2 linked regions of the Arabidopsis thaliana genome follow. The protein of the gene in region 1 purifies or fractionates together with the protein of each later gene. This does not show direct contact. Each region holds a gene or a part of one and is shown on either strand. Other genes may lie near its edges.

Evidence for each region. The genes of interacting proteins can lie anywhere in the genome.
Region 2: the proteins of PSAT (region 1) and CSY3 fractionate together in Arabidopsis thaliana (co-fractionation; one large-scale study listed by BioGRID). This does not show direct contact.

What each region holds. Positions count from the first base shown.
Region 1 is NC_003075.7:16,902,134-16,906,228, reverse strand, and holds PSAT (phosphoserine aminotransferase), read right to left. Parts: upstream 2,171-4,095; 5' UTR 2,025-2,170; coding exon 732-2,024; 3' UTR 507-731; downstream 1-506. Other genes in the region: SERAT3;2 (serine acetyltransferase 3;2), read left to right, coding at 1-13, 111-184, 278-337, 434-474; CYCB2;2 (Cyclin B2;2), read right to left, coding at 2,463-2,610, 2,680-2,858, 2,937-3,035, 3,121-3,342, 3,421-3,510, 3,600-3,737, 3,820-3,973, 4,051-4,095. UniProt on the Arabidopsis thaliana protein: Involved in the plastidial phosphorylated pathway of serine biosynthesis (PPSB). Catalyzes the reversible conversion of 3-phosphohydroxypyruvate to phosphoserine.
Region 2 is NC_003071.7:17,802,315-17,807,649, forward strand, and holds CSY3 (citrate synthase 3), read right to left. Parts: upstream 3,760-5,335; 5' UTR 3,678-3,759; coding exon 3,447-3,677; intron 3,358-3,446; coding exon 3,177-3,357; intron 3,075-3,176; coding exon 2,989-3,074; intron 2,782-2,988; coding exon 2,677-2,781; intron 2,561-2,676; coding exon 2,498-2,560; intron 2,378-2,497; coding exon 2,268-2,377; exon of another isoform or gene 2,117-2,267; coding exon 1,997-2,116; intron 1,926-1,996; coding exon 1,850-1,925; intron 1,756-1,849; coding exon 1,682-1,755; intron 1,593-1,681; coding exon 1,472-1,592; intron 1,357-1,471; coding exon 1,259-1,356; intron 1,178-1,258; coding exon 1,054-1,177; intron 959-1,053; coding exon 818-958; 3' UTR 527-817; downstream 1-526. Other genes in the region: AT2G42780 (transcription elongation factor B polypeptide), read left to right, coding at 1-77, 167-332. UniProt on the Arabidopsis thaliana protein: Peroxisomal citrate synthase required for the fatty acid respiration in seedlings, citrate being exported from peroxisomes into mitochondria during respiration of triacylglycerol (TAG).

The DNA.
Region 1 (4,095 bases):
TTCCTTCGCATAGGTATGAAACCACTGACATGCATCTAAATATCAATCTCGTTGAGCTTTTTTGTTTGAACATTGCTCAAATTGACATTTTCTCTCGGGCGTTTCTGAAGCATGGTGGCTGGAAATCCAGCAAAACTCATCGGGTTTGTTGATGAGCAAGATCCATCTATGACAATGGAGCATGGTGAGTCTTGATTGTGAAAATAGTATTCTGATTTTGTTCTCCATTGCTCAGGCTTTCGTAGTGTGCCAATATGCTAGTTGATTGAATATGCAGATGCTACCAGAGAGTTCTTTCAAAATGTAGCTGTTGCTTATAGAGAGACAATACCAAATGGTAACTTACTTTCTTAATTCCTACAGTGAACTGTGTATTTATATATCTGAGTATAGTTTGGGATCTGAATTGAATTTTGCTTTTTTGTTAAAACAGGATCTTCAGTTTCAGGGAGTTGCAGGGAAAGGAGACATTAAAAAGAGAACATGAGATCACCTGCAGCTTCTTTAAGGCGGTTTTCATCATCAATCATAATCACTTCAAACAAATAACAAAGCTCTTTGTTTGTTAACAAACTTGTTTTTCCAATTGATGGAGAAAGATTTTGATACATTGTTAAACATTATTCATTCTGAAAAGAAGAAAAAAAAACAAATCATAAGCTTTAAAGCTTATCATCTTTAAAGCTTATCATCTTTCAACAAACATAACCAAAATGCAAAAACCCTTAAAACTAAGCATGCTTAGCCTGGAAATCTTTCATGAAAGCAACAAGCTTTTCAACACCAGCCAAAGGCATTGCATTGTAAATAGAAGCTCTCATACCTCCCACTGATCTATGTCCTTTGAGCTGCACCATCTTCTCTTTAGCAGCTTCCTTGATAAACTCAGCTTCCAATTCAGACTTCTCCAATGTGAAAGGCACATTCATCAACGACCTCACTGATTTCTCAACAGGACATCTGAAAAAGCCATTGCTTTCTTCAATAGCATTGTAAAGCAAATCAGCTTTCCTCTGGTTCTTCTTCTCCACTTCTTTCAATCCACCTTGCTCCAACAGATCTTCAAACACAAGACCACACATGTAAATCCCAAAGCAAGGAGGCGTGTTGTACAACGAACTATTCTCATCATGAATCTTGTAATCAAGCATCACAGGAGTAATATCTTGAGCATTCCCAATCAAATCTTTACGAATGATCACAATTGTGACACCAGATGGACCAACGTTCTTCTGTGCACCACCGTAAATCACACCAAACTTAGATACATCAACAGGTTTCGAACAGAAGTTAGAAGACATATCAGCAACCAAGAACCCATTTTTAGGAACAGGGTAATCTTTAAACTCAACTCCATGAATAGTCTCATTGGCGCATATATGCAAATACTTAGCGTCCGGAGTTTGCTCCAACTCCTCAAAAGATGGAACCTTTGTGTATTTCTCAGATTTCCCAGACCAAATCACATTAGTCTTGCAATACTTCTTCGCTTCCTTGACAGCTTTATCACCCCACGAACCAGTAACAACGAAATCGACTGTATCATCCGATTTGCAGAGATTGAGAGGTAAAGCAGCGAATTGAGTAGTGGCACCACCTTGTAAGAACAAAACGGAATATTCCTGAGGAATCTCGAGAAGCTGACGAAGATCCGATTCAGCTTTTTGTATAATCGAGAGAAACTCTTTGCCTCTGTGACTCATCTCCATCACACTCATGCCAGATCCACGCCAGTTGTATAGATCCGCCTGAGCTTTTAGGAGAACGTTCTCAGGCAAAGTGGCTGGACCCGCCGCGAAGTTGAAGACACGTTCTTGGGATCCGACGGAGCCGGATCTAACTCCATCTTGAACTTGAGTCGTTGAAGCGACGCATCTAACAGCGACGGGCTTGGTTTTGCTGACGAAGTTGACGGTGTTTGGTTTGCTGAGGTGAAGAAAGGATTGAGATGATGATTTGGGTTTCAAAGCAGGAATCTGAGTGTTGTTGCTTCCGACAAGGAAAGAGTTCGTCGTAGCCGCCATGATTGTTGTGAGATTCTCCGAGTTTATTTTTGTTTGTTGCCCTTTTCGCTTTTACTTAGACAAAAGATCTGAGAAAGAGTTGGTGGGAGATATATAAATGTAGCTTGAAAACGACAGCGTTTGTGTTAGGTGGTACTAGTTTTGTCTGCGGTGTTAGTATAGTTAAGACTCATTTCCAATGTGTTTTATTTAAAGTTGTAGAAGAAAAAGAGTTCAAATCAAAACTCTCATCCTTATATCATACATATTCTATGAATCTGTAACTATTGACAAAAAATATGATTGGTATAAGAGAATTTTATTGCTGAGATATCAATAAAAGAAAGACTTGTTACAGATCAAATCAGAGGAATGTTTTGAACTTATTTCGTTTGTAATTAAAAATTGAGAGGGAAAATGTTAGCAGCGAGCTATACACAAACTACTATTTTCCACTCTTTAGTGAGAATCTGACACAAGAAAGTGTGCAGCTTCATACTTTGTTGCTATGTATCCGAATTTGGAGGAGCTGTATTTTCTATGTACTCCTGTTAGTTTATCAGTCCCAGCTTTCTGATGTAGTCTCACCATTCTTCTACAACATTCTCTGTAAAACAAACCCATATTAGTTACAAAGATGAGTCTTTATAGGTGCTAATGGGTAAAAGAGACTTACAGGAGTTGATTCTCAGAGTAGTGACAATGGAATTCACAAGTGCTGTTCCATTCACTGAAGCCATGGATTGTACATTGAGCTGTGTACACGGCAGTGGCGGCGAGTAACGATGGTGGATACCGAACCATTTCGTAGTCCACAAGAGCAAGCTCAATCAAGAACGACGCCAAGATCTCAAGCTGTTTCAATAACAAGATTAGTTTGTAATTCACAATCCATTTATATTATTGTGTACATTGATAGATTTGTTTCTTTACCTTCTTGTCTGATTGAGCTGCCTTGAGGAACCTCTTCAAGAAAGGGTATTGCGTTGGTAACGACATATTGAATTGCAAAGTACTAAGCATAATCTTCTCCTGCACACAAAGATTATATTATTGAAATCAGATCAAATGTATAATCTTTTTACCGAGTTTTTGGAAAGAAACAATCTTATTTTACCATTTCTAAAACATCGGTCCTCGTATAAGCTTTGTCCGAAATGACTACCAAATCTTCAACAATAGGTACTGAAACCTCTTCGTACTTGCAAGCTAAGAGCAATGCAACTAAACCAACAAGCTGAAGCTTCTTTCTTGCAACAGCTTGCTTGGACAAGAATCTATCTATCAGATTGACTGTTAGAAACAATGTCTCGTTCATCAGCTCAAACTTATCATGTACCTGAAACATCCAAGAAGCTTCTTAATTAGCCTCTATATATACAATAATCCATTACCATTGAGAGGTGCTTGAATATACCTCGATGAGCCAGTCAATAAGTATTGCTCTCATTTTGTCAGATATATCAAACTGTTGCGCCATGTAATCTAGAGGAACACAGCTAAATCTCTGCAGATTACCAAAATCCATGGAAAATTGTCTCAGTCCGAATTCAAAATCTTATGGTTTTGGTTCAGAGACATATTAAGAAACCGTACCTCGGTTTTACGGTAGAAATCGTAAAGATCTTGGACGTATTCAACAGCTGCAAGAGAGTTGTTTGCATCGTATTCGTCTATATCCAAAACTGGTTCTTCTTGTTCTTCTTCCATATCCTCCATCTCAACTTCTTCCTCCTGTCCAAATCAAAAAACTTTCTTTAGAATTCACATTAAAAGAAAAAAGCTAAAGATCTTTTGAAAAGTGATTGTTAATTACCATTGGATCAAATTCAATGTATGGTTCCTCCAATGACATTGGCATAGGTTGGTCCAATGTAACTTCTTCATTCTTCTCCTCTTCTTCATCAATGAATATGCAATCACCAAACTCGTTTCCACTTGGTTTCAGCTTCTTAGTCTCTTCCTGAGATCTGCAGAAATTCAAATAACATCAGATCTCTCTTTCTCAGCAAAAGAAACGTTTTTGAAAGCTTTAAACTTTATTAACCTTGAAATTGACGGATGCAATGAATCAAGCTTCTTCTTGTCACAG
Region 2 (5,335 bases), on another chromosome or scaffold:
TCAACTTCAAGAAGCATTCCTTATGGTGGACGAAATCTTACTGAAACTAAAAAGAACACGATTCAGAAGAGTTTCAGGTAACATGTCCTCAGTATCTATATATCTATATGGATCCACTTCTTTATCCCCCAAACTTGATCGGTTTGACGGATCATGTCTTGTATAGTATATCTGCTCCAAAGAGGACTGGCTTATCCGCTAATGCGCCTTCAACTTCAAGAAGCGTTCCTTCTGGTGGACAAAAGCTACCTCCAAGGAGGATCAACGGCCTTCCTGGGACTGCTCCTTCAACTTCAAAAAATGCAGCCACCAGACAAAAACATGTAATGTAACTTATATAGCTTTTTTACAGATCATTTTTTCTTCGAGTGTATCATTTACATGGCTACTTCAAGTTTCAAGAACTCCGAGTTTTGAAACTCTGGCTTGATGATATCCTAGTTTGTAACAATAGATCTTCAAAAGTTTTTACAATGATTTAATAAAGTGCTTTGTTTTCTACTTGTTGCTTTGGCCGAGATATTTCACAACAAACGTCTCTGCAGAAGCATTCGATATAGAAATTAGAGTAATAATCCATAACCATAAATCATTTTATACAATAAACACGTTCTGATAAGAAGACAAACAAGGCGGACAAACACCCTTAGAAGATGGATTGAAGCAAATATAGATCAAGTCTATATTGTGCCTACAAAATGAGAAATCTAAGTTTCGAGTATGATCAAGTATCTTAGCTTTAGGCTAGAGAAACCAATCTCTTTTATTCTTTGCGGTGTGGTTTGATGTATAGTATGGACCCTAAAAGGGCCTACGTCTAAACTGAAGATCCAGCCAAACGTCTTCTTGATGCATTTGAAGTCGCGACTTGACCCAATTTGTCTGACTCTTTCGAGTCATCCGTCACTATTCTCTCTCTCACTGGTGTGTAATGCCTCAGCCACACGCCTGTGTACACCTGCAACATTTAATATTCCAATGAACCATCCAAGTTTCAAATTGATCCAAAGAAAAATCTTTCTCTTATTATTCTTGGAAAGAGATTAACTATACCTGTTGTGGTCTCATGATCTTGGTGTCAGGATCATCCAGTGACTCTTTCCAATGTGACAAGTATCCAGCCATGCGAGGAATCGCGAATAAGACCGTGAAGAACTCCGGTGGAAATCCCATTGCCCTGTTGTAATGGTCCAAGTTTGCAGATTTAGATGAAGTTGAGAGGAAGTTATGGATACTGCACATGCATTCAAACTTTTACCTGTATATTAATCCAGAGTAGAAGTCAACATTTGGATACAGCTTTCTCTTAACAAAGTAATCGTCAGAGAGAGCTGCCTTCTCAAGTGCAACAGCAACCTGCAGACATCAGAATCAAACACATTGGCTTTAAGGAAACATGAAAAATTACACTAAATCGAAAAGGTGGGCATCAAGTTGTAGTATAAGCTTGAACTTCGTGGACATAGCGTACCTCAATTAGAGGATCCTTTCCAACAATGGAAAATACTTCATCAGCCAGGTTCTTGATGACTTTAGCTCGAGGGTCATAGTTTTTGTACACACGGTGTCCAAAACCAGACATCTTCCTCTTCCTAAGATGTCAAAGGGATGAGAATTTTAATGAAAAGACTTGTCACAAACCTCGGAAACGGAAGCATATAGTTTCAAGAATTGATTTTACCTGTTCTTCACACCCTCAATGAACTCTGGAATATTTTCAACAGTCCCAATCTCTGACAACATCTTAAGCACAGCCTAATGGAACCAAAGACATGAATTTCAAAGACCATGGAGCATGAAAATACATCAGAAGATGTAACATATGAAGACATGAGAATAAATAGCATACCTCGTTTGCACCACCATGAAGTGGACCATAAAGCGCTCCCACAGCTCCAGCAACAGCAGTGTAGACATCAACACCGCTACAAGAAGACATTTCCTAATCAATATATCTCCTATCAAGGTCACTAAGATTCCAACCAAAGATAAGTACCTAGAGGCAAGATGCCGAGCAGCAGCGGTGGAGCAGTTCATTTCATGCTCTGCATGCAGTATGAAGAGGATGTCCAACACCCGAGCCAGCCGAGGATTAGGTTTGTAGGATCTATTTCCCCTGTAAGAAGTGTGTTAATGGCACGCTACAAGTTATGTACACAGTAAAAAAATAACTAGGCTTCAAGTTCTCTGAAGCGTCAAGATCTAAAACTAAATCTAAAAGTTGAGTTTCTAACTAATTCAAGAAGAAAGAGATAGCAGAGACATACAGGGAATCAAGCATATAGAGGAAATTATCTGCATAAGGAAGGTTTCCTGAAGGAAGAACAGGAGGCCTTCCTGCCATCCTCAGATAAGCAGCTGCTGCAATTGTTGGTGCCTGCACAAATCGCAAACACGTTTAGTTGCATCAGATCTTCATGAAATTCAGAGTCCAAATATGTTTATGCGTGACACAATATAGGAAGAAGTAAGGTAACCACTGATAACAAAAAAATACCTTTCCAATAATGCGGATAATTTGTTTATCTCTAACTTGTTTTGAATCGTAAATATCCTGGCCCTGCACCCAATAGAGTATCAGTCAACATGTTTATACGGACAATTTCAAAAGAGCTAAAACTAGCGAGTGACAAGGCCTGACATGTTGTTAGAGAAGTAATATAAGGTTAAACCTACCCTAAGAGCAGGATTAGCATCAGGATGAAAGATGGAAAGCGCACTCATTGCACTCACAAGAACTCCCATTGGGTGTGCATCATGAGGCATAGACTGTATAATATCCTGCACAAAAGTTATCAAGTAAGTGGAGTTAGATATGAGAAATATATAGCTTTGAGTACAGCACACAATCCTCAGAACAACATGTATAGAACAGTCTTGACAAATTATTGTTCGACCAGACAAGAAAATAGGCTACTAGTAAAGAACAGGCTAACTCCATTTTACAAATCGAAATTGAAATCCATCAACCAAGGATTAGAGACTCACTAATACACCTTGTGGCACAGCTGAATGCTGAGAAACTGCAAACTCCCAATCAGATAGCTGACTTTCAGAGGGCAGATTCCCATACACTGCCAGAAAATATAGTAAAGGAGAAAACTTTTCATCAATGTCCAATTCGATACACATAACACTTGAAATTGTGTAGTAAGGTTAAAAGGTAAAACACTTACTGAGAAGATAAGCCACCTCCAGAAAAGTACTGTTCTCAGCCATTTCCTCAATTGGGTAGCCACGGTAACGAAGGATCCCTTCATCTCCATCGATGTAAGAAATCGAAGATCGAACAGGAGCCGTGTTCAAGTAACCTGGATCGTATAACTTAAGCCCCTTGTCTTCCTTCCCCGTCACTATCTGCAAGCCAAACAACACGCAACAAAGCAAATTCTCAGCTCAAAATCCCACAGTGATAGGAAAATGGTCATTTAGAAAAAGGGTTAAACCTTTTTGAAATCAACGGCTTTAACGGTACCATCATCTGAGACCGGAACTTTATAATTTTTTCCGGTGCGTTCGTCGACGATCGTCAGTGTTCCCTTCAAAGATCCAAGCGGTGCGACACTCGTATCCGCCGACGTGCACCATCGCTCGATCGCTGGAGAATCCTGTTTTCCTTCCGATAAATGACCTGAGAGAACAGCTAATCGAGCTCGAACTCTCTCTGATATCTCCATTCAACCAAAATCAAAATTCAAAGAAGGAGAGAAGAAGAAGAAAGGGAGCGAAGAAATTATTAGAAACCATTCTTACTCTTCGTTAATATAACACGTGTCTTATCCCCTGCGGTCAGGAGTATTGAACAGTATCCACGTGTATGCGATCTAACGGATATCTTGATATCCAACGGCGTAAGCCTTATTGACCCAACTTGGACTAACGGTGATGATCTTCTCCATCTCTAAGCTGTCAGAATTATGTGGGACCCACTTATCAGTATTATCTAGTTAGTCAATTGCTTTCCTCGATTTGCTAAATATCAATTCGATTGCTACGCAATGCTGAATGGGCCGAATTGTCTTAATATGGGCTTCTGTATATTCATCTTTAGGCCCAACAGTATACCACTTTTTATTTGGGCCTTTTTTGTTGATACGGCTCGCTTTACCATCGGAACCAACCCAACATTCATTTTTCGAACTATGACTGAAATCTTATTAAAAAAATGAATGTAAAGCTAAATATGGATGTTGCGTTCAAAATAAAACTCATGAGTTTATGGATGTTCTTCATAAATTATAGTTATCATTAATCAAAAGATGGAAAATACAAACGGTTATTTACTCTTTAATGTTAGTGTACGAGGCTATTAATCTTATAAGTTGTATTTATGTATTATATTATGGAGAATGAATAGGTCTAATTACGTTTTAAAAAAAAAGCATGGAGGAAATGAGAGTGAAAGGTATAATAAATGACATGTTAAAAGCGACGGGTCGTATATTTTGATTCGTACCTAAAAATAGAATTCTAAGTTTACCCCACGTGAGGCTCTGAATCTGAGAGTGATAGATTTTTCTTTCCCTCCTTCCGTTTTCAACACATGATGACATGAACAAGGAACTGTTCCTTTTTTTTTTCTTTAAACATTATCTGCAACGGTGATCACTCACTCAATGATATCTTTCATTTATAACTTCACACGTCTATAAATTAAATTTGTTCATAGGATCTACAATAACACAATTAACATCACTTGTGTTTTTAAGTTATTCAAGCAGAGGCATAGTAATTGATAAAAATAGACAACAAGAAAGCATTTGAAACAAAATTACTGTTGTAAACAAAGCTTTTTCACGGTAATGGAATTCCGAAATAAAAATATATAAAAAAGAAAGTGACAGAGGAAATGTGTGAGAGAGGCAAAGGAAATGCAATATTTGCAGGAAGAAAAAAAGCATGAGAAAAAAGTAGGTGTGGATTTAGACACATGACTGACAAATTATATTTTTCTAGTTTCTCCTCTATATGGTGGTTTCTGCGTTTATCATGTTTAAATATATTTAAACCTTTCATTAGTCACATCACATCCCAAAAATGTGTACGATAATAAAAAGATTGTTTATATACCAAAATTAATTGGTTTACTCAATCATCTTTTTAATTTTGGTCATTTGATACGATCAATCATAGGGTGTCCTAACGTTAAGTTCGATGACGCTGCTACCTCTTTTGAGCGTACCATTCAGGGTCCTACTCGGCTACTCCTACATAATGAATTTAGCAAATAGCAGTTTAAAAACAAATTACGTTAGTTGATTAAGATAAATAAATTAGCTTAACACAAATTTGAAATGGTTAGTTGAAACTCAATTAACATTAATTTTTCTAGGTC